2 linked regions of the Cricetulus griseus genome follow. The protein of the gene in region 1 interacts with the protein of each later gene in a pairwise test. Links are inferred from orthologs where the notes say so. Each region holds a gene or a part of one and is shown on either strand. Other genes may lie near its edges.

Region 1 (10,565 bases):
CACTAGACACCAATCACAAACACACTCAAAGCAGAACAGGCTCGGCCATGATGAAGGACCCCTTAGAGCACACATTTGTGGAGAGACTATATAGGCCCAGGAAGTCTGAAGAACAAGAAATAACTACCAGTGAAGAGAAGAGCACTAGTTCCAAACTTTGAAACTTACCTTTTCTTCTGCTGAGACATCAGCCATCTTAGGAAGTGGGGAAGGAGCACGCTTTTTTATCAGTAACAAGACATCTAGAAAAAAATTTAACAGTTATCTCTATGAAGTCAGTTATCATTTCATAGCCATAAATGACACAAAAGGTATCAGACAGAAGTTAGGGAGGATAGCTCAGTGGCTTAAGGGCTCTCTATACATGAGTGACAACTGGAGTTCAGATCCCCAGGACCACATAAATGACAGGTGGGCAGGGCAGTCTATCCATAATTGTAGTACTTTAGAGGCAGAGACAAGAAATCCCCAAAGCAAATTGGCTAGCCAGAATAGGCATGTAGACAAGTTCCAGGTTCAGAAAGATGCCCTGCCTCAATGAATAAAGTCATGTAAACCCCAGACCTCCACATGCGTATTTATACATGTACACACATCTTTGCATGAACACATGTACACACCACAAGAATGGTGCTAGATGCTTAATGTCAGAAAGCAGGGTTTCCTCTGGGTCCCTCCTAAGCCAAGCCAGCTCTCCCTCCTCAGCTTTGAAGTGGCTGGTGGGTAACCACAGATAACCTGTGGCTTCAGAGGTTGGCAAAGCACATCCCTGACAACCATACAGAGCACTGGTGGACATCTCACACAAGGACTCAGTCCTAAAAATCTGTGAGGCTAACCTAAACCCTGAACTATAGCCAGTCCATAGTTCACCTTGAGGGAGAGGGGGGGTCCCTTCCAGCTCCATTTTGAGCTTTGGTTATAGCTCATCATAAAGGATGACAGTCTGAAGTCCTCATCTGCATGACACACAGAAAACAGATTTTCTCCCATAGCAAAGCATGAATGAAGAGGAGGGTATGCAGAACAGAAGTATCTCACTCAGACCCTGAAACAGCTACTGTGAGCACTTCCAACACTAAAATAAAGCCACCAAAGCTTCAGAGTCTAGTTTTGCTTTAAAACAGGATTAAACATAGCAAGCACTCTCATTTGGCTTCTCAGATGTCTGTCAGGTTTCTGCTACTTTTCACAAGTACACCAATACCCACACTTCTTTTAATAATAAATAAATAAATAAACAAACAAAACCAGAGTCAATCTGGTTCTCCTGCTCTTGTCTAAATCCAGAAAAGCACCATTTGGGTGACACTGGGACGCAGGCTCTATGCTTTGGATATTGTCTCTCAAGGCCTTCTTACCTTGGTCCTGGATGTTTTCTTCCAAGATAGTTTTGGTGTCACTCAGCACCCTCTCCGAAGCTGCATGTATTAACTTATGGTGAGTCACACTCTTGGGGTCTTCTATGCTCCCATGAGCACCCTGGAGGAAGAATTAAGCCACAGATATATAAATAGGAATTGAATTGTGATAGGAGTAACAGAGCATAACACCTCAAGCCACACCTGGAATTATCAAGGCTTTTTCTGTCTCTGTGTCTGTCTATCTGTGTCTCTCCGTGCGTGCGTGCGTGCGTGCGTGCGTGCGTGCGTGCGTGTGTGTGTGTGTGTGTGTGCGCGCGGTTTATACTTGTCGAGTGTATATGTTTTCACGTGGGTATGTATATGTGTGTCCACAAGGATATGACAGCCAGAGGCTAAGGAAGGGCTCTTCTTCAACTTCTCTCCACTTTATTTTTGAGACAGCATCTCTCATTGAACCTGCCTCATCTCATCAATTTGACGATGGTGACTGGCCAATGAGCTCCAGAGATCCTCCAGTCTTTGCCCCACCCCTACCCCAAGTCAATGCCCAGATTAAATGTGCTGCTGCCACTGGCTTTTACATAGGTGCTGGGGATCCAAACCAAAGTCCTCATGCTTGTACGGCAGACATTTTACTGACTGAGCCATCTCCCCAGCTCATGGAATTATTGAGTTTTCTTATTAGCCCAGACAAAGCATAAATTACAGTAAAGAATCCCCACAGATGATTTAAAAAAAAAAAAAAAAAAAAAAGGCTGAGTGAAATGTCAGCAAGCATTGATCCCTCCAGGCCTTTAAGCTTATCACCAGCTCACAGTAGACTCCTGGGGATGGCTAAGACCTTGGGAACACAAGATCCTACTGATGATAAGCACTTGTAACCCAAATCACTTTAGTTTGGAAAGATCTTGAAAATGACTTTTGTTTTGTTTTGTTTTTTTGAGACAGGGTTTCTCTGTAGCTTTGGAGGCTGTCCTGGAACTCACTCTGTAGACCAGGCTGGCCTCGAACTCACAGAGATCTGTCTGCTTCTGCCTCCTGAGTGCTATGATTAAATGCATGCGCCACCAACACCTGGCCATGGAAAATGACTTTTAGATGAAAATATGTCTGTGATTTCCTGAGAATCTGAAGATCCAGTTGCTTTATGCATTTGCTTTTCCTTCTTCAGCAGACACAGGAAAATCAGAGGAAATGCACCAAAAGAAGACTGCTTTCCAGGAGCTAGCACGATTCCTGCGCAAGGAATACCACAAAGTCCTCAGCAGAGCACAGTGCACAACTGGCCTCAGCTTTGCCTTGGGCCCAAGTGATAACCATAATCCAGATGCAACTTACAGTAGCCCAGGGGACTCACAGCTGTGTCTATGTCCCTAGGGCCCTAGAAACCTAGTTACAGTGTCAGTCAGAGGAGGTAGACAAGAACTAGAAAGCAAACTATCAGTAGTACTGAGGAAAATAGCATCTCCAAAAGGACCCTGCAGGTGACCAGAGCAACCCCTTCTACAGACTGTAGGCAGAGGCCTGGCAAACATAGCTCATGATCTCAGCCAAGCTCCAGCACTCGCCCATACAGAATGCAAACACACAATCTCCAATGATAGAGTCCTGCTTGCCTCTGGGCCGTACCATCATCTGCCTGACTATCAAGTAGACAAAGACCAAGAACACAATGTCGCTGCCACATGACAAAGATGAGGATTCACTCTGCCTATGTGTTCAACACCAGGTATACTCACCTGAGTTTGTACATTTCCACAAGTTCACTACTTAACTGCCCAGCATCACACAGCCTTCCCAGGCCCAGGTACCACATCATACTAAGTCAGCTGCAGGCCCTCCCCAAACTCAGAACAAGGAAAAGGGCTGTAACTGTTTCTTGATGCTATAGGTCCCTCGGTGTTAAACTAAGAAAGAAAGACCCCCAAGAAACCTAATGAGATGGCTCACTAGTGCTTTGGCCCATCCCACATAGAATGGGTCACACAGCACATTTGGGACACAGGGTTCTTCAGGCCCTTCCTGGATGTTCTGGAAGGCATCTCTGATACCATGATATACACACTCAACAAAGGGCCTCTATACATATGGATGCTAACCAGAAGAAAAAGCTGAAGCATGTGTTTCCCCCAGATCCTCGAATTTTAGAACACTAGAATCCTCCATCAGTCTCAGATTGAAAACAGTCTATGCCCAGCCCCCAAAGGACAGGGTTTCTCTGTGTAACAGCCTTGGCTATCTGGACCTAGCTGGCTCTGTAGGCAAAACTGGCCTCAAACTCACAGAGATTCACCTGTCTCTGCATACCACCACTAACCCCCTTTAGGAAAGAGGGCTTGCTGTGTCCCTTTCCAAGACTTAGGCAATGGAAGCTGGGGAATACCATGGGGATGTCACTTTGGATAAAACAAAAAGGAAAGACAAAAAACAAATACATTTCTTTAAGAACTATAATAACAAGCCCCTCCCTGATACAGCAGTAGACTCCCAGGAGTGCTGTAGGAGAAAAATTTTTAAAGACTATATATCTTACCCCTCAGGTAGAGAGGAAAGAAGAAATAATAATAGTAATAACTCCAGTATGAGTGTGCACAGGAGGGTGAGGAGAAAGGACAAGTTAAGACAGCAGTTGTAGAAACCCCTCTCTTCTAATGACTGCTTTGTGACTCCTAGGGACGATGGGACCTGGAGGAGAGTCAGTTCTGATGGCTCAGCTCTTTAGTTCTGTTATTTAATTATGCTGTAACCCCCTGCTGCTTCAGTCCTCATACCTGGAGATGCATAGTAAAATAAAAATCTCAATTTAAAGAAGGATAATCACACACACACACACACACACACACACACACACACACACACAATTCAAAATGATACAAGTGCAATATTAAATATCACAAATAATTAGCATCATATCAAAATCATCTGCCTAATTTACCCCACTGCTCCTGGAACTTATTAGTAAGTATTTGTGAATCATTTCTCATCCTTCATAAAATATTGCCACAATGATTATGTAAATCCACACTATTAGTGAGTTAAGCAAAATGCCACACCAATGGAGGGGTCATCCCATGTTGATGTGGTCTGGGTTTGACAACACATTTTCATTGACTTCCTCAATCCTTACGCTGGCTTTGGAGTTACTCCAAGCTTGGCCCTGAGGAACCCAACCAGGTGGCAGAGGACACAGCACAGTACCAGACAAGCATAAATGCTAGAGTACAGTCTAGATGCCCAAGAAGTCCTCAACCTTTAGGCTTGTGTTGAGCCTGTGGGTTTTCTAGATAGCAAGACCACGGTGACTTGTTAAGAAGAAAAACAAGAAAGCGGTCTAAATACATTTTGCCCTTGACCATGTGAGCCTCCTTGAGGTGAACCATAGAAGCGAAGACCCATGGTAATTCAACATCTAGTGTGTTGTAGAAGGTACTTGAACCAGATCTCCTGGTGCCCTCTGTCACTACAGACTGACTCCATAAAGGAGATTTTAAACTACCCTTTCCAAGGAGCTGCTATGAAAACTTGGGAGATTGTCTTTAGAGGCAACACAGTGCTGCATTTTACTACAACCTTCCAGAGTCCCTGCTGAAGAGCTGTGGCCAGTTTTAACATAAACTCTGGCACTAATCATGTCAGGTATGGCGCTTCCATAGGCCACCAGGATCTAACAAGCATCTGTCTCACCTTTAACTGAAAGCAGTTTAGAGACAGGAAAGTTTCAATTATCAGTCCCAAGCCTTAACTACCTAAAGCTAAAAGAAGCTAACTATAGTACAAAGCTCACAGCAAATAAGTAAACTTCACAAAAGCCACTTGCTGGTGAGAAGACCCTAGTCCTGTACCTTGCCACTCAATCAACTGTTGCCCCAGCAGAAAACAGAAGCCCAGGGACTTGTCCCAGAGTGACACTATTTTAAGTGACTGCTGCTAAGAGCGAAGCCCAGGCCAGGGGCTCCTAGCAGCTGGCTCTCGGGCAAGGTGCGGGCCCTCTTAATAAAGGGATCTAGTTACTTCTCAGCTTCTGGGGAAAGCTAATGTAAAACAAAAACCTCATCCCCACAACAAACAAGCCCTAATACTAGAAAACTATGAGCGCTTGCTTTCTCTCTCCCAGTCTCCGTTCACTCATTGCCTTCACTACCTCAGGATGTTGCAGAAATTAAATAAAGCTCTCCCATTAGCCGGGTCGGACTCTATCCTAGGTTTGCGGCTCTCTCCGAAAAGGAGCGGGAGGCGCTGCCCGGACCCGGAGGAGCGACAGCTAGGTGCTGCAGGTTGCCCAGCCGACTCCAGGGTCGGGTCCCAGGCGGATGCGAAGGTCTGGTGTCTAGGTGGAGATGGGACTCGGGCGGAATCCGGGACAGGAGTCTAGGTTTCTGGTTTCCAGGAAGGAGGCAGAGATGGAACTGGGTCGTAAGGGGCTCGGCCTTACGTGCTTGAGGCAACTCTCCTTGAGCTTCTCCACCGACGTGTCCTCGGTCGCCTCCTCCAGCCACTCGGCGCCGTCAGCTGCGCAGATGTGCAGCCGAAGCACCTTGCCCGCGAAGATCTTCTCCTCCTGCACGAACATCGCGCCGCCGCCCGAGCCTGCGCCCGCCGCCCGAACCCGTGAAGGTCACCGGGGCTGGAGGGAGGACCAGGGGCGGGGCCGGGCCGCCGCGCGCTCCTTCGCTGGCCGCCGCCGCCCCCCCCAGCTCCTGTCGGCTTGGCCACCCGTCACTGAAGAGGCCGGAGCTGTCCCTCGCTACCGCTGCTGCCGTCGCAGTAGCCGCCGGGGGCGCGCTATCGCAGCCGCGCCGGAAGTGCGTAATGTGCGCCCGTGAGTATGCCGGGAGATGTGGTTTTTTTTTAGTTGGTGCTCCGCTGTAGCCTCCGCCGCGCCGGAAATACGTAAGTGCAACGAGCATGCCGGGAGATGTAGTTCCCAAGAAGGCTCCCGGGCCCATTAACAGAAATGTGTGAAGCAGGTCAGGCGCCTACCGGGAGTTGTAGTTCCCCATTGCTTCTTTCCTTCAACACCACCAGCCTTGATACCTGTTGTGTTGGTCTGTCAAGCACACACGATCTCAGAGTTAGCAGGAAAAAAACATGAAACGTCTCGGTCAGGACACTAGGAATGTGTCACAGATAGTAAGTGCTTGTCTGGCATGCACGAAGTCCTGGGTTTGATCCCCAGCACGGCATAAACCTGACACGTGTTTGTAATCCTAGCACTTAGGCAGAACCAGAAGAACCAGAGACATCATCCTTGACTACATAATGAGTTCAGGGCCACCCTGGAATACATGAAAGACTGCATTAGAAAAGCAGAGAGAGAGAGAGAGAGAGAGAGAGAGAGAGAGAGAGAGAGAGAGACAGAGAGAGAGAGAGACAGAGAGACAGAGAGACAGAGAGACGCAGGCAGGAGAGATGGCTCAGTGCTTAAGAGCACTTGCTACTCTTGCAGAGGTTCCAGGACTGGTTCTCAGGATCCACATGGTAGCTCACAACCATCCTGGAGATTGGATGCCCTCTTCTGATTTCCAAAGGCTCGACTGTAATGTTAATACATATATGCAAGCAAAGCACTTCACAAAATCTTCTTAAATTAAAAAACAAACAAACAATAAACAACTCTCATTGAGCCAGGAATGGTGGTGTAGAAGGATCAGGAGGTCAAGTTCTTTGTTATCTTTGGGTACATGAGATCCTGTCACGAGCAGTGTTTCTACTGACCTTAGACAGTCCCAGAAGGGTTTGTAGGACCTATTTCTAGCTGAGTACAATACAGAGTGGTGTGTTGCACCAACCTGGGGTCTCCGTCCACACAGCCATGCAGGTAAAGTGTAGGGAAAATGATCCAGCCAAAGAAACACACCCTGAGCAGAGCCAAAGAAACACACTTTGGTCCTGCAACCAGAACCAAAGAAATGGACCCTGACCCTGAAACTAGTGCAAAAGAAACACAGCTTTGTCCCTGGAATCAGAGCCAGTCAAAGAAATACATCCTGGCCCTAAATAAAACTAGAGCCAAAAGGCTAAAAAGGACCAGTGAAAGAAACACAGTTTGGCTCTGTAACCAGAGCCAAATCTGACCCTAAACCTGTGTAGAAACTAACTAATCCCTGAGCAGATCTAGGCATCCTAAGCTCAGGGATTGAAATCTGACCAATCCCCACTCTGGAAAAACTCCACCCTCCTAAGAATCCCTATATAAACCCTGTGTCTGTTCAGCTTGTGGCTGTTTGGGCGGCCAGCCTGGCAGAGGGCAGCCACTCTTCTGGATTCTTCCCTCCCAATAAATCTCTTAGGAAGGTTTGTGTGAGACCTTCTTTGGCCAGAGCAGAGATGACCCTGGGTGGGGCAGAGGGAGCAGAGCTGTAACACTTTTCGCTGGGGAAGCCTTCCTGGAGTAGAACTGTAACAACTTTGCAGGGGAAACACTCTCCTGCTGGAGCAGAGCTGATAAACCGGGGAAGCCTTTCCCTGAATCAGGGTTGTAAGCTGCTATGCTTATTGTGACCTGTGGTATTCTTTGGCTCCCGAATGCCAGAATACCTTTCCATCTGAGCTGTAACACTCAGTATTCTTTAGCTCCAGAGTGCCATAATCCATCCTGGTCCATCCCATCTGATCTGTGGAAATGCTTACGTAAAGGCTCTTGCCACAGATCTGAGTCTTGGCAGGTGGTCCCAGAACTGAGCAAAGGGGGTTGTGAGCAATGGGTCTGAAGCCCCTCTAGCTGGTCTTCAAGTTCCCTGGGCTTCTCCCCAACCAATCACTTGCTCTTTTTCCAATGCTCAGGAAACTCAGCTCATTCTTCAGACCTTAGGACACTTTTCTCCTGGAAGCCTGTCATGACTGTGTCCCCTGGGGTTGCATTTGTATACTGAGAGTGTTGGCAAAATATTTCCACAGAACCAAAAGTCAATATGAGCACCTTGCCACTGGAGATGCTGGAGGGAGTACCCAAACAGGACATGAGACAAGTCTCTTCCATGTGCTAGATCTGGCTCTCCAGGATCCCCTCCCAGGTGTGTGTGTGTGTGGGGGGGGTAATCAAGTAAAAACTGTGGAGACAGTGGACTTTTAATGTCCCTGTCCCTCCCCAGTGGACAACAACAAGTTCCTTCCTCCAACAGCCCCATGCTTTCATGTGGACCCAGAGATACCACTAGGCCCTCTGAAGAAGGATGGGCTGCCCAGCCTCCCAAGTCAGCCTTGCTACAAAAGCTTGGAGGTCACAGCTCTCTTGGTATGGGTAAGCTATGTAGATGCTGATGTAGTATTCAAGGGAGCACCCACTTAGTCCTCCCCCTCCTCACCAGCATGGTTCAGGCATGGGGCTTACATGGAGACTCAGCGTCTCCCCACTTAGTGTCATTCTGCACCTTGCTCAGTCTCAGTCTCTGCTTCAGAGACCATGCTGCCCCCTCCCTGCCAGCCCACAGAAAGGCATGTGTTTATTGTGTACCTGCTATTTATGCCAGGGGTGTAATGGGGAAGGTAGTGGAGCTCCCTGTCTGGTAGATCCTGTGTTCCTAAGGTGGGCCAAACAAGGGTCTGAGTCTCTTGACTAAAGCAATTCAAATCAGTTTTAACCACTTCGGAGAGGAAAGGAATCTACGGAGAGGTTTCTGGACTCTCTCAGAACCTCCATTAGCTAAAAGGACCAGGATAAAGTCCCGACGTCACATTATACAGGTCTTCCTAGGCAAAGCCATACTGCCTTCACATTAGACCCCTTACCCCAGACCCTAGCCCACAAAACTTGATGAGTAGGGTCCGAGTAACCTGTAGCTTGCAACACTCACACTCTTAGGGACACACTCCTACCCATATGGTTTTTAAGGAGAGAACAAGCTAGATGGGTACTTTCAGAGGCTATCAGCTCCTACCTCAGTTGGTCTGAGTGTAGCAGGCCCCAGGGCCCAGCTAGGAGCCAGAGAGGGCTGTGATCAGGAAAGAGCTCGCCCTGGCCAGAGACTTGTGGTGAGATGGCTGCCACAACCAGGTATTGGCTTCTGCCCCAGCACCAAGAATTCACTGGAGGAGGTTGGCATCCCTGAATGGTGACTGACAGGATCATGGCCCTCTTTCCCATGACCATCCTCTACTTCGGCAAGCACCCTGGGGAGACCTGCCCTAAACCACTGAGCTCTATGTAGTGTCAGAGTGCATATTATGTTGGCATTAGATATTCTGGACAATCTGGGAAGGGTCTCCCTGCAAAAAGGCATCAAGTCTGATCCAGATGTTCCTGCCAGCCATGAACAGGAAGGAGTCCCCAGGGTACAAATTTTATAAAAAGGGGGATATTGTAGTATCCAGAGCAGGCCACTAGACGGCGCAGGTAAGCCGCTGTCCAGCTCAGAGCAGGTATTTGAGTTGGCTGGGTGTGTGGCCTGAGTGTGCATACTGTTCAAGCGTGTATGTGGATGTATACATGTGTATGTGTTTGTGCACATATGTGTATGGATGAATTCATATGGGAATATGGCTGTGTGCATGTTTGTGTCTGTAGGCGTGCCAGTCATCATGGGTGTGTGTGGTGCACATTAAGTGCATGAGCAGGTGTACAGGTGTGTGTGTGTGTGTGTGACCCAGGACCCCGACTCTTGGAATGACCACTTCTAATCTACTGATACTCTGCAGGGCCCAGAGCTGGAGCTGCAGGAACAGTGTCACATTGCAGGAGCGGGACTATACAGAGTCCTGAGGAGCAGCACCGCCAGAGGAAGGTGCTGGGAATGGGCTATGAGGGATGACTGTGCTTTCCAGGCAACAGGTGAAGGAAATAGAAGGGCAGACTTTTTAGCTTCCATGCTCCCTTAGGGTACACCAAAGGGATCCAGTTTGAGAAGTATATCTCTGGTTCAACCCTTTACAGTGGGAGACTCTTAAACCTAGAAAGAGGAGAAAGCAGGGGTTTGATCACTTGTCCTGCTCACTGCAAAAGCCAGTACCAGATCCTCGGATCCAACTCCTAAAGAGTTCCTATTCTTCCCCTAAGGTCTCCCTGAGCTGGCCTAGACACTGGCCACCATAGTCAACCATTGTTAGAGTGTCCTGAGGTAGCTACAGCTCCGCAAGGGAGTATGTAGCTCAAAACACCAGAAATGCCTTCCCACCTGTGCTGGAGGTCAGCCGTCAACGTCAAGTTCCCAGTAGGACTGGACATCCCAGGCCCCTCCCAGCTTCCTGTGGCTTCCTCAGTCCCAG
Region 2 (10,461 bases), on another chromosome or scaffold:
TCTCCAGAGTGAGTTCTGGAACAGCCAGAGCTACACAGAGAAACCCTATCTCAAAAGAAAAAAAAATTAAGTGTAAGTAACAAAACAAACTTTATTCCAAAGACAGAAAGATCTGGAATTATGAAAGACACATGGTCTGATGAAAAGCAGAGAGAAACAGAAAGGTGGCATGAAGAAACCTAGTATGCTCTCTGCTCTAGGAAGGGAGGAGCCCCAGTGCAAGGTGACCCAGGCTAGCATTCCTAGCCACAGGACAAATTCATAAGCCTTAAATCTTGGGTGATTTGCATCATAGTGGCTTCTCTAGTATGGCCAATCAGCATTGGCATGGAAATCCATTTGTGCATCCTTTTGTTCTGGAGCGCTATAATGCTTATCTGGGGTGGGGTTCTATTGAGACGGAACTACTCTGGCCACTAAGAACAATTGTGACTTTGAGAAACTGAAGTTGAAAACCCAGATAAACCTCATGTATGTACTAAATGTTGGTGCAGCCAAAGTCATAAAATGGTCACTACTGGATATAAAAGGACAGACAGTTCTAGATAAAGTGATTGGGGGAGGGGGGGAGACTTCAATACCTCATCCTTAGATCTAGATCATTGAGTTAAAAATGAAATCCTCTCCGTTAAGCTTCACGGAAGACCAAAGGGATTTAACAGACACCCACAGAATATTTTATCCAGTAGCCATGGATCACATATTTTCCTCAGCATCTCATGGAACTTTCTACAAAATAGAAAACTGATGACAGTTTAGGCTATAAAGCAAGTTTTGACAAATACAAAATAATCAAGATAGTACCTTTTTTCAATTTTTTTCCCAGACATGTTCTCACTTTGTGGCCCTGCTGTCCTGAAACTCCCAGAGAGCTGCTTGTCTCGGCCCCCTGAGTGCTGGGATTAGAGACATGGGATTGGTTATATCTAATAAACCATGATGGAATAAGAAGTAGGCAGAGAGATAATAGAAACCGTACATCACATGAACATTAAATAATATACCCTGATACTGAAGGGACCAGACCCTCACCCAGCCCTTGCTTTGGCAGCCATGATGTAGGCCTCTGACTCAGTGGCATGTGCTGAGCTTCCTGACCTTACCTGACCTCCTAGACACAAGGAAGCACTAGGAAGCCAGATACCTCCATGTGGCAAGGAACCAATCAGAAGTTAGCTGATGGGCTCTGTCATCAGAAATGAAAAATGAATATCCACCTACAGAAGAAGAAAAGCAGATCCCGCATGAAAGCCAACTCAAAACAGATTTCATGTATGTCCTGAAATGACAAAAGTACTAGAGGAAAACATTTCAGGACACAGTGTTTGCAAAGACCTTTTTTTTCTTTTCTTTTCTTTTCTTTTTTTTTCGGGACAGGGTTTCTCTGTAGCTTTGGAGCCTATCCTGGCACTGGCTCTGGAGACCAGGCTGGCCTCGAACTCACAGAGCTCTGCCTGCCTCTGCCTCCCGAGAGCTGGGATGAAAGGCGTGCTGCAAAGACTCTAGTAGTCCTTGAAATAAAAGCAAGAGTGACAAACGCATTTGCATAAAGTAAAGAGGCTTTGGTGCAGCAAACAGAAACAATGGAGTGAAGACACAGCCTACAGGGAGAAGAGTCTTCCTAGTGTTTTATCTTACTGGGAGTTAATATCTAAAATATATTTTAAAAAACTCACAAAATTAAAGCGTCAGGGTACACCCTGTAGTGTGGGTTAGCGGAAGAAAGAAGGCACTCCAAGATGAAATTTTAAGGCCTATGTAGCAGCAGGAAGGGCCAGCCTCTCTGATGGACTAAACTCCCGAACAGCTATACAGAGGTGTATTTATTGATTGTTACACAAACTATTTCCTTATACCAAGGTCGATAATTTAATTTACACATCTTACTAAAGAAGAACATTACACACCCCCATGACTCCAGTCCTTTATTATGTATCATTTGCAATACACATAATACAAGAGCCTCAGGTGTGCCTGATGCATCTTGTGTCCTAGGTCATAGTATGGCTACAATGTCCCTTCAGCAAAACAATCACTGTTTTTTTTCCCCAAGGATTCTTTTTTTTTTTTTTTTCTTTTCTTTTTTTTCCTGAGGCAGGGTTTCTCTGTAGCTTTAGAGCCTGTCTGGGAACTCACTCTGTAGACCAGGCTGGCCTTGAACTCACAGAGATCCACCTGCCTCTGCCTCCAGAATGCTAGGATTAAAGGCGTGTGCCACAACCATCACCACTACCCACTGGGCAATGAATTTTTTTAAGTGAGGCAATTGGTTGCTTTCTCCTTAGTTTTGTGATTGGAACTAAGACAGCTGCCTGTTTTGTTGTACAACAATTATTTGAACCAGAAGGTTTTGATGGCTGCACAGGTGAAAAAGATAAAGAAAAGAGAGCCCTGTCTTGTATTTTTGAAAATAGGCAGATACATCACAGACTTCCTAAAATATTTCATTAGGCCTTGGGCTGCTTGTTTTTTGTCAACTTGACACAAACCAGAGCTGCCTGGAAATAGGACATTCAATTGAGGAATTGCCTAAATAAAATTGTTCTGTGCCGAGGTCTGTGAGAGGCCATCTTGACAAATGAATAATGTGGGAGGGTCCAGTCTAGTCTGGGAGGCACCATCCCTAGGCTGGTGGACCCGGCCTGTATAAAAACAAGTAGGCAAACAAACTACCAAGCTGAGCATGAGCCTAAGAGCCAGGCAGTAAGCAGCATTCCTCCATTGTCTTGCCATCCCTCAATGATAGACCTGAAAGTATAATACAAAAAAAAAAAAAAAAAAAAAAAACCCTTTGTGGAGCCAGGTGGTGGTGGCACACAACTTTAATCCCAGTGCTCGGGAGGCAGAGGGAGGCTGATCTCTGTGAGTTCGAGGCCAGCCTGGTCTACAATAGCTAGTTCCAGGACAGCCTCCAAAGTCACAGAGAAACCCTGTCTCAAATAAAACAAAAAACCAAAACCTTGGTGGGGGCTGGAGAGATGGCTCAGTGGTTGAGAACACTGACTGCTCTAAAGAAGGACCCGAGTTCAATTCCGAGTAACTACCTGACACCTCACAACTGTCTGTAACTCCAGGTCTAGGGGATCTGACACCCTCATACAGACATGGATGCAGGCAAAATGCCAATGCAAATGAAATAAAAATAAACATTAAAAATAAAGATCCTTTGTGATGGCACTCTTGGTTGTCAACTTGACCACATCTGGAATTAACTAAAACCCCAAAAGTCAGGGCATATCTGTGAGGGATTGTTGCTTAATTTGAAGTGGGAATTTCTTCTTCTTCTATTATTACTACAGTGTTACAGTGTTTCTATGTGTAGCTTTATAGACCAGGCTGGCCTCGAATATATATATATATATATATATATATAGAGAGAGAGAGAGAGAGAACATTCTATAAGTTCTGTTATTCTAGAGAACCCTAATACCCTTTCCTCCTAAGTGGCTTTTGGTCAGAGTGTTTTACTACAGCAACAGAAGAGGTAACTGGAGCCACCTTGTAAACCTATATTGGACTTCTGACCCCCAGAACTGTAGGATAGTAAATCTGTGTTGTTTCAGGCCCTGGCATTGTTACTAAGTTGTTACAGTAGCAATAAGAAACTAGCACAGGGAGGTGGAAAGACAGTTTATGTGCAACATGTAACACACAATTGTTTAATTTCTTTTAAAGACATTTGGACTTTTTATTCCATGTAGACTTGAGACAAAAAAAAATTTAGAACATCCATCAAGAAATTATGATGATAGTTGGGCATGGTGGTACATGCCTTTAATTCTAGCCCTTGGGAGCCAGAATCAGGCAGATCTCTGAGTTCTGAGTTCCAGGCCAGCCTGGTCTACAAAGTGAGTTCCAGTATAGCCAGGGCTACACAGAGAAACCCTATCTTAAACAAACAAACAAAAATCAAGATCAAAGTATCCACACAATGGAAGGAGAAAAATGACTCATAAAGCCAAAGCCATCCTCTGACTTCCATACATGAACCATGGCATGAACCTGTCCACACAACATGCATAGGCACAGCATAAGTAAATAAGTAAACCTAGCCAGGTGGTGGTGGTGCACGCCTTTAATCCCAGAGCTCAGGAGGCAGAGGCAGGTGGATCTCTGTGCGTTCAAGACCAGCCAGATCTACAAGAGCTAGTTCCAGGTGAGCCTCCAAAGCCACAGAGAAACCATGTCTCAAAAAAACAACAATGAAAAAAAGTAAAAGTAAAAATAAGAGCTAGAGTTATTAGATTTTTCCTTTCTAATTTACACCAATCTTTCAAATTTTGAAAATTGTCAAGTAAAAAGGTACTCTGAAGTTACATTTGAAAAATCATCAAAACTTTTTTTTTGGGGGGGGGGTAAAGACAGGGTTTCTTTGTGTGGCCCTGGCTGTCCTGGAACTCACTTTGTAGACCAGGCTGGCTTCAAAGTCATGGAGATCCACCTGCCTCTGCCTCTAGAGTGCAGGGATTAAAGGCACATGCCACCACCACCTTCTGGTAGCCACCAAGCTTTAATAGCCATAACAAGAACAGATGTTACTTGGTTTATTGATGATTCCAGACCAATCTGCATCTGGTGCCCTTTAAAAAACAAACCAATATTCATTTATTTGTTGGTGGGGTTGGGGGTAGCCAGAGGCGCTGAGTAGATGGAGGATTACTTAATAGGAGTTGGTTCTCTCTTTTATTCATGAGATTCATGAGAGTGCTAGCCTTCACAGCTAGGATCTTGAAACAAAAACAAAACACAGCTAGGATCTTTACCTGAATGAGCCAGGCCTGGTGAGTTTTTCAATGGGAAGGAAAGAAATGGGTGAGGCTGTTGGAAATAAGAGAGAGGTCTCTGAATCACGTACCGGTGCAAGAAGGTGTGTGTGTACCTTTACGAGCCACATAACCCCTAGTTAAATCACTTATGTTCTATTAGGCCTTAGTTCTCTATCTGTAAAATGGGATGTTTGGACACCTTTTTAAATTTCCCTTCTAGCTCAGCATTCTGAATTCAGGAGTTCCTAGATTTAAGATATGTTTGCTTTGTTGCATGAGCTCTAAAAGGAAGTTAGAAGCCTCGAAAGAAAACCTTCTGCACACATAAAGAGGAAAAAAAAAAAGCAAGGGCAATGGGGGAGGAAGGAGGAGGATAAGGGAAGAAGCGAAAAGACAACCGACTGTATACAGAAAAGAGATGCAGGCATGAAATACACAAATAACTCAAGGTACACAAATACACAAAATTCGGTTGTCTTTTAGAAGCAGAAATAAGACATTGCCCCGGCCATCACATTTTGCTTTTGATTGTGTACACATAATAACTCCCACCTCTCGAAGCCTCAGAAGCAAAAAAAAAAAAAATAGGAAAAGCTGAAAACGTAAATTTTTTGTTTTTTAAAGAAAAAAGTGCAAGAAGCAGCTTGAAACCGTAGTCTCCGGACAGAAGCGGGTTGTCCCGGCATGCGGGATGGCAATTTCCTGTGCCACCCCGCCATCCTGCCGCTTAAACCAGCACACAAAAGAACCAGTGAGCGCCCTGGGAGCCGCAGCGAGCCCTCCGCCGGGTCCCCAGGCCCGCCCGCTGGGGCCGCTACGCCCTGGTCTCCGCCCCTCGGAAGTGACGTATCGCGCCCCGCCCCCACCGCTAGATCCGCTGCTGCTGCCTCGGCGGGCCGACCTGCAGGAGGAGGCGGCGGCAGCGGCGGCGGCCCAGGCCGAGGGAAGATGGCGGACGGCGTGGACCACATAGACATTTACGCGGATGTGGGCGAAGAGTTCAATCAGGTACGGGAGGGTCTGGGCTCCGCCACGGACGCCGACGCTGCGGCGGCCTGGACGCTCGCCACCAGGGTCGCCGCGGGAGGGCCGCGAGCCGGGCTCGGCTGCAGACCGTGCGCCCTTGGCGCCTCTGGGCCGCGCCGCTGTGTGAGTGTGTGCGCGGCGCGGCGCCCCCTCACCCCTTGTTCTCGCGCGTCGTTTATGCGGGCCGCGGGCTCTGGAGCGCGGGGCCCGGTCGCCGTGCAGCCGCCCGCTCGCCGGCTCGCCCGCCCTCCCTTCCCTCGAGGCGGCCTCACGCCCCATTGTTGGCTACGGCGGCGGGCGCTTCCCGCCGAGCTAGGCCGCGTGTGCGGGGCGGGGAGAACGGGCCGCCGCGCCCCCTCCCCCGCCGCCCGCCTGATGGTGGGGGGAAGCAGCCCTGGCTGGCCCGGCGCGCGCCCGCTCGCCCGCCCGCCCGCCCGTCGCCTCCATCCCGGCCCTGCCGCCGCTGGGTTCCGATTCCTCCCGTCGCTCCATTTTGTGTTTCTTGTCGGCGCACGGTCGCCCTCATGGAAGGCCGCGTTCACAGCCCTTTGTATCCCGCGCGCCGGGTCTCCCGGGCTCCTTTGCTCGCGTTGGCGACAGGTTTCTGCGTGGTGCCCCGGTCCCCGAGGCGGGGAGGGAAGGCGGCTTAGGTGTGGGTACGTCTGCAACAAGTCATCTGACTTCTGGACCCACTGAGTTCATTTTGAAAAAGTCTCACGGTGCGATGGCCCGCCGTGGCCACCGAGGGCTTGCGGGGGCCTTTGAGGCCCGGTCCTTGGCCTTTGTGAAGGGAAATAATAATCTGGGAAGATAAATGGCTTGCGCTAAAGACTTGGATGCTCGGTGGTTGGACAGAACAAAAAGATGGTGGTCTCTCGCTAACAGATCCCGGAGGCTGAAACGGAGAACGTCCACCCGACATTCTTACCGTGTGATAGCTTGCTTACGAGCCGTCGTGGAGGTGACTGTGTTTTGAAAGCCGAGTGTTAGCCCGGTGGGGCCCTACTTCACGATTTGAAAGGCTTGAGAAAGTGAGAAGTATCAGGTTTTCCGGTCTCACCGGCCACGGTCGCCTAGAACTAGCTGGGATGTCTGATGGTGAACATCCTTGGACAGGTCTAGTTACCGGAGTTAGTAACGTTTAGCCTCTTAGTCCTCTCCATATTTTTATTGCATTTTGTATGTTCACGTCACTTTTTTTTTTCCCCAAGTTGCATCCAACGACAGTGCTGCTAAAAGCTGTGGGTTTTTTCTTTTTAATTTTTTATTTATAAAAATGTCCCAGGTTCAGAGGAGAAGCTTAATAAGATGCAATTGATTAATAGCTTACCTTCTAATAATCGTATTTATGACTAGGGATGCAAGATTTAAAAAAACAAAACAATGGAAACTCTTAAATCCTTACTTGCTTTGTTTTTCAACAATGACAGTGTGCCTCTGGTTTAAGTATTAGAAAAAGAGAAGCAAATTTTGATAGGGTTTAATTACTGCTGACTTAGACACTAGATATTTTTAAATGTAATTAACCCGTTGCAATAAAACGTTAAGTTTGAAAATCTGTTTTTTATCGTGCCTGAGTTGTTAGTTACAACTTAGAAATTTTCTTTTGAGTGCTACAGAAATAGTAGATTAGTTAAGACCTCCGGATCCCCCCCCCTTTCATCTATCATGACATGTAGCATTTCCAAAACACTGTCATAACTGTGACTAAAGGAAAAATAAAAGTTTGAAACAGTCTTCATTAGCTTTTTTTAAAAATAGTTTTTTCCCAAGACAGAGTTTTTCTGTGTATCCCTGAATGTCCTAGAACTCACTGTGTAGACCAGGCTGACTTCAAACTCAGAACTCAGATCTGCCTGACTCTGCCTCCAGAGTTCTGGGATTAAAGGTGTGAGCCACAACTGCCTGGCTATCATTCACTTTTTTCACTAAGAGAACATATTGCTTTGTTTTTGTGCTCTCAGTAAGGAGGAATTGGGATACAGTTTTAGAAATTAAGGTTTCTCAATTGGTCATGGTGGCACAAACTTTAAATCCCAGCAACCAAAGTTGTGCTTTACCAAAATGCAAAATAAGCTTATAAAACTATGCCTATTTTAAATAGTAAATGGAGAACAAGATTAGTGTCTACACAATTTCAGAGAACACCAAGTACAATTAAAACTACTGCTCACAATAGAGAACAAAAGATGTGTTTAGAGGCTGGAGAAGGTGGCCCTGTGGTTAGAGGACAGTTGATCTCTTGAGTTTGAGGCCTGCCTGGACTACAGTGTGAGAGCCTGTCTCCCAAAGAAAAGAAAGATAAGCTTTCTTCGTTATCTCTATGAAATATGTTCAGACTGTTGAATACTTAATTTAGGAAGGACAGTATACTTATGATATAACTGGATGTGGTGCTAGCTAGCAAGAGGTCAAGAAAAGATAACACTTTTTTGATTCCAGTGAGGAACTACTTTGTAGGCCTCCTTTTTATAAGTGTAGCTTTTCATTGACTTGTAGCAGACATGTGTCTGCTACATGGTTGTGTAATTTTACAAGGAAAATCTTTGTAGGTTTAGATAGATTAATTGGAAGGGTAAGTAGAGGCTTTTTCCAAAATCCCTTGTTTGCAGCTCTGGGGACTGAACCCAGGCCCTTGCACATCTAGGTAAGCAAGCACTCTACCACTGAGCTGTATGTTCACTCCAGAGGTATGTTAGTGCTTGCTCTGAATTCCCGAACAAAAAAGTAGCCACCAAAAGATTGTCAGTTATTTTGAGATTTGTCATGTTTTCTATAGATGTTACTACCATTGAAGTGTTTTCATGAGATCCTACCCAGAATTAGAAGCAACAACAAAGTTGTTGATTGATTTAATCTCCCTCTTGCTTGTTTTTCTGTCTTGTAGCTCATGTTGACCTAGAACTTGTGGTACAACTGCTGCCTCAGCCTCTCCAGTGCTGGGATCCCAAATCTGTGCTAGCCATCAGGCTCAGTTCTTTTCCTTCCACTCAGGCCCTTGCACATGATAGGCAAACACCTTATACTCCTGTCCTGCATCCCTGTTATTCTCTTTTCTCTTACTAGGTGGTAGCCTTATTTCTACTAGCTGCTGTAGTTACCAATATGATATTTGATTGTAGTTGAGCAAATATTTTTCAGAACTAATCATTAGCAATTTTTAGTTATTTTGATTTCTAAACATTTATACATATTAGTTTTTTTTTTTTTAATTTTTCTGGGCTGTGTTTGTGTACGCCTTTAATCCCAGCATTTGGGAGGCAGAGGCAGGCAGGCAGGATCTCTGAGTTTGAGGCCAGACTGGTCTGCAGAGCCTGGCTCTGCCTCCCGAGTGCTGAGATTAAAGGAAGAGCCACCGACGCCTGGCTGTGAGCTGCAGTTTTAATTGTATTTTGTATTCTCTGAAATTCTGTGTGTAGTCACTGGTCTTGTTTTGCATTTTGGCAAAGCACAATATTGATTGCATGAAGTATGAGACATGAGTATTAAACGCTTTAATTTGGGATGGGATGAGACTAAGTGCATTTACTTTCTGTACTAGGTGATTTTTAAGAATGGAGAATGAAGACAAGAAGGCATAGAATCATATGGGCAGCTTGGATCTTAAAAGGTTTTGGATGTGGCCAAATGGAGAATAGTTTCTCCATGGAAGGAGAATTTGAACTACTGAATCTGTGCATTTATTACTACTGACTTTCAGTTAAGCAGAAAGCAGAATGCTCCCCTCCAGATTTATTCTTTTATGTGTATGAGTGTTTTTGCCTGCATGTATGTATTTGTATGTGCATTCCTGGTGCCAGTGGAGGTCAGAGGAAGGCATCAGATCCTTTGGAATTGGAGTTGCAGATGGTTGTGAGCCACCATATGGGTGCTAGGAACCCAGGTTTCTAGACAGTGCTCTTAACCCCTGAGCCATCTGTCAAACCCCAAAGTCCAAAACTTTTTGAGTATCCTGTTGTTTTTTTTTTTTTAAAGTTAGATATGCTCAAGTTATATTCTGTAATCCAAATAGTATATATTTTGTTTATCTGGGGGTCAGGTGCTTTTAATGTAGAATTTAGTAGTATCTGGTCTGTCAAACTGTGGGTTATTGATCGTAAGCAGTGCTGATTTAGTTGATCTACTTACTTTAAAAGTAAATGGACCCAGCACTCGGGAGGCAGAGGCAGGTGGATCTCTGTGAGTTTGAGGCCAGCCTGGTCTCCAGAGCAAGTGCCAGGATAGGCTCCAAAGCTACACAGAGAAACCCTATCTCAAACCAAAAAAAAAAAAAACAAAAACAAAAAACCAGTAAATGGAGTAATGACTGGGGTTGGGTCAGTTTTGGAATTAAGGATTTAGATGTCCTCTTTTGTAAAATTTTGTTGAATCATTTCAATTTATACTTAGTCATTGTTTATTGTAAATGAACTATTTTTCTTGTGGAACCTTATGATAACTTAATGAAAATAGTTGAAAGATAAATCAATAGGGGCTGTTAAGATCTAATTTAGCATTCTGCAGGAATTATAACATTTAATATGCTTAGCATACTCATAAAATAATGTTTTCTGGGGAAAAAAAGGATCCACATTTTCTATATCCAAGAATTCAGCTGGGATCTAAAATACTGCCTGGGTGACATTGCACATGCATTGCATATGTACAGACTTCTTACCGTTATTCCCTA

Evidence for each region.
Region 2: the proteins of Ubac1 (region 1) and Cpsf6 interact in a two-hybrid assay, tested with the Homo sapiens proteins (2 studies listed by BioGRID and IntAct). The link is inferred for Cricetulus griseus from reciprocal best matches to the Homo sapiens genes UBAC1 and CPSF6.

The regions. Positions count from the first base shown.
Region 1 is NC_048599.1:137,393,420-137,403,984, forward strand, and holds the start of Ubac1 (ubiquitin-associated domain-containing protein 1), read right to left. Parts: upstream 6,080-10,565; 5' UTR 5,935-6,079; coding exon 5,797-5,934; intron 1,483-5,796; coding exon 1,362-1,482; intron 243-1,361; coding exon 169-242; intron 1-168.
Region 2 is NW_023276806.1:138,940,230-138,950,690, forward strand, and holds the start of Cpsf6 (cleavage and polyadenylation specificity factor subunit 6), read left to right. Parts: upstream 1-5,617; 5' UTR 5,618-5,714; coding exon 5,715-5,774; intron 5,775-10,461. UniProt on the Homo sapiens protein: Component of the cleavage factor Im (CFIm) complex that functions as an activator of the pre-mRNA 3'-end cleavage and polyadenylation processing required for the maturation of pre-mRNA into functional mRNAs.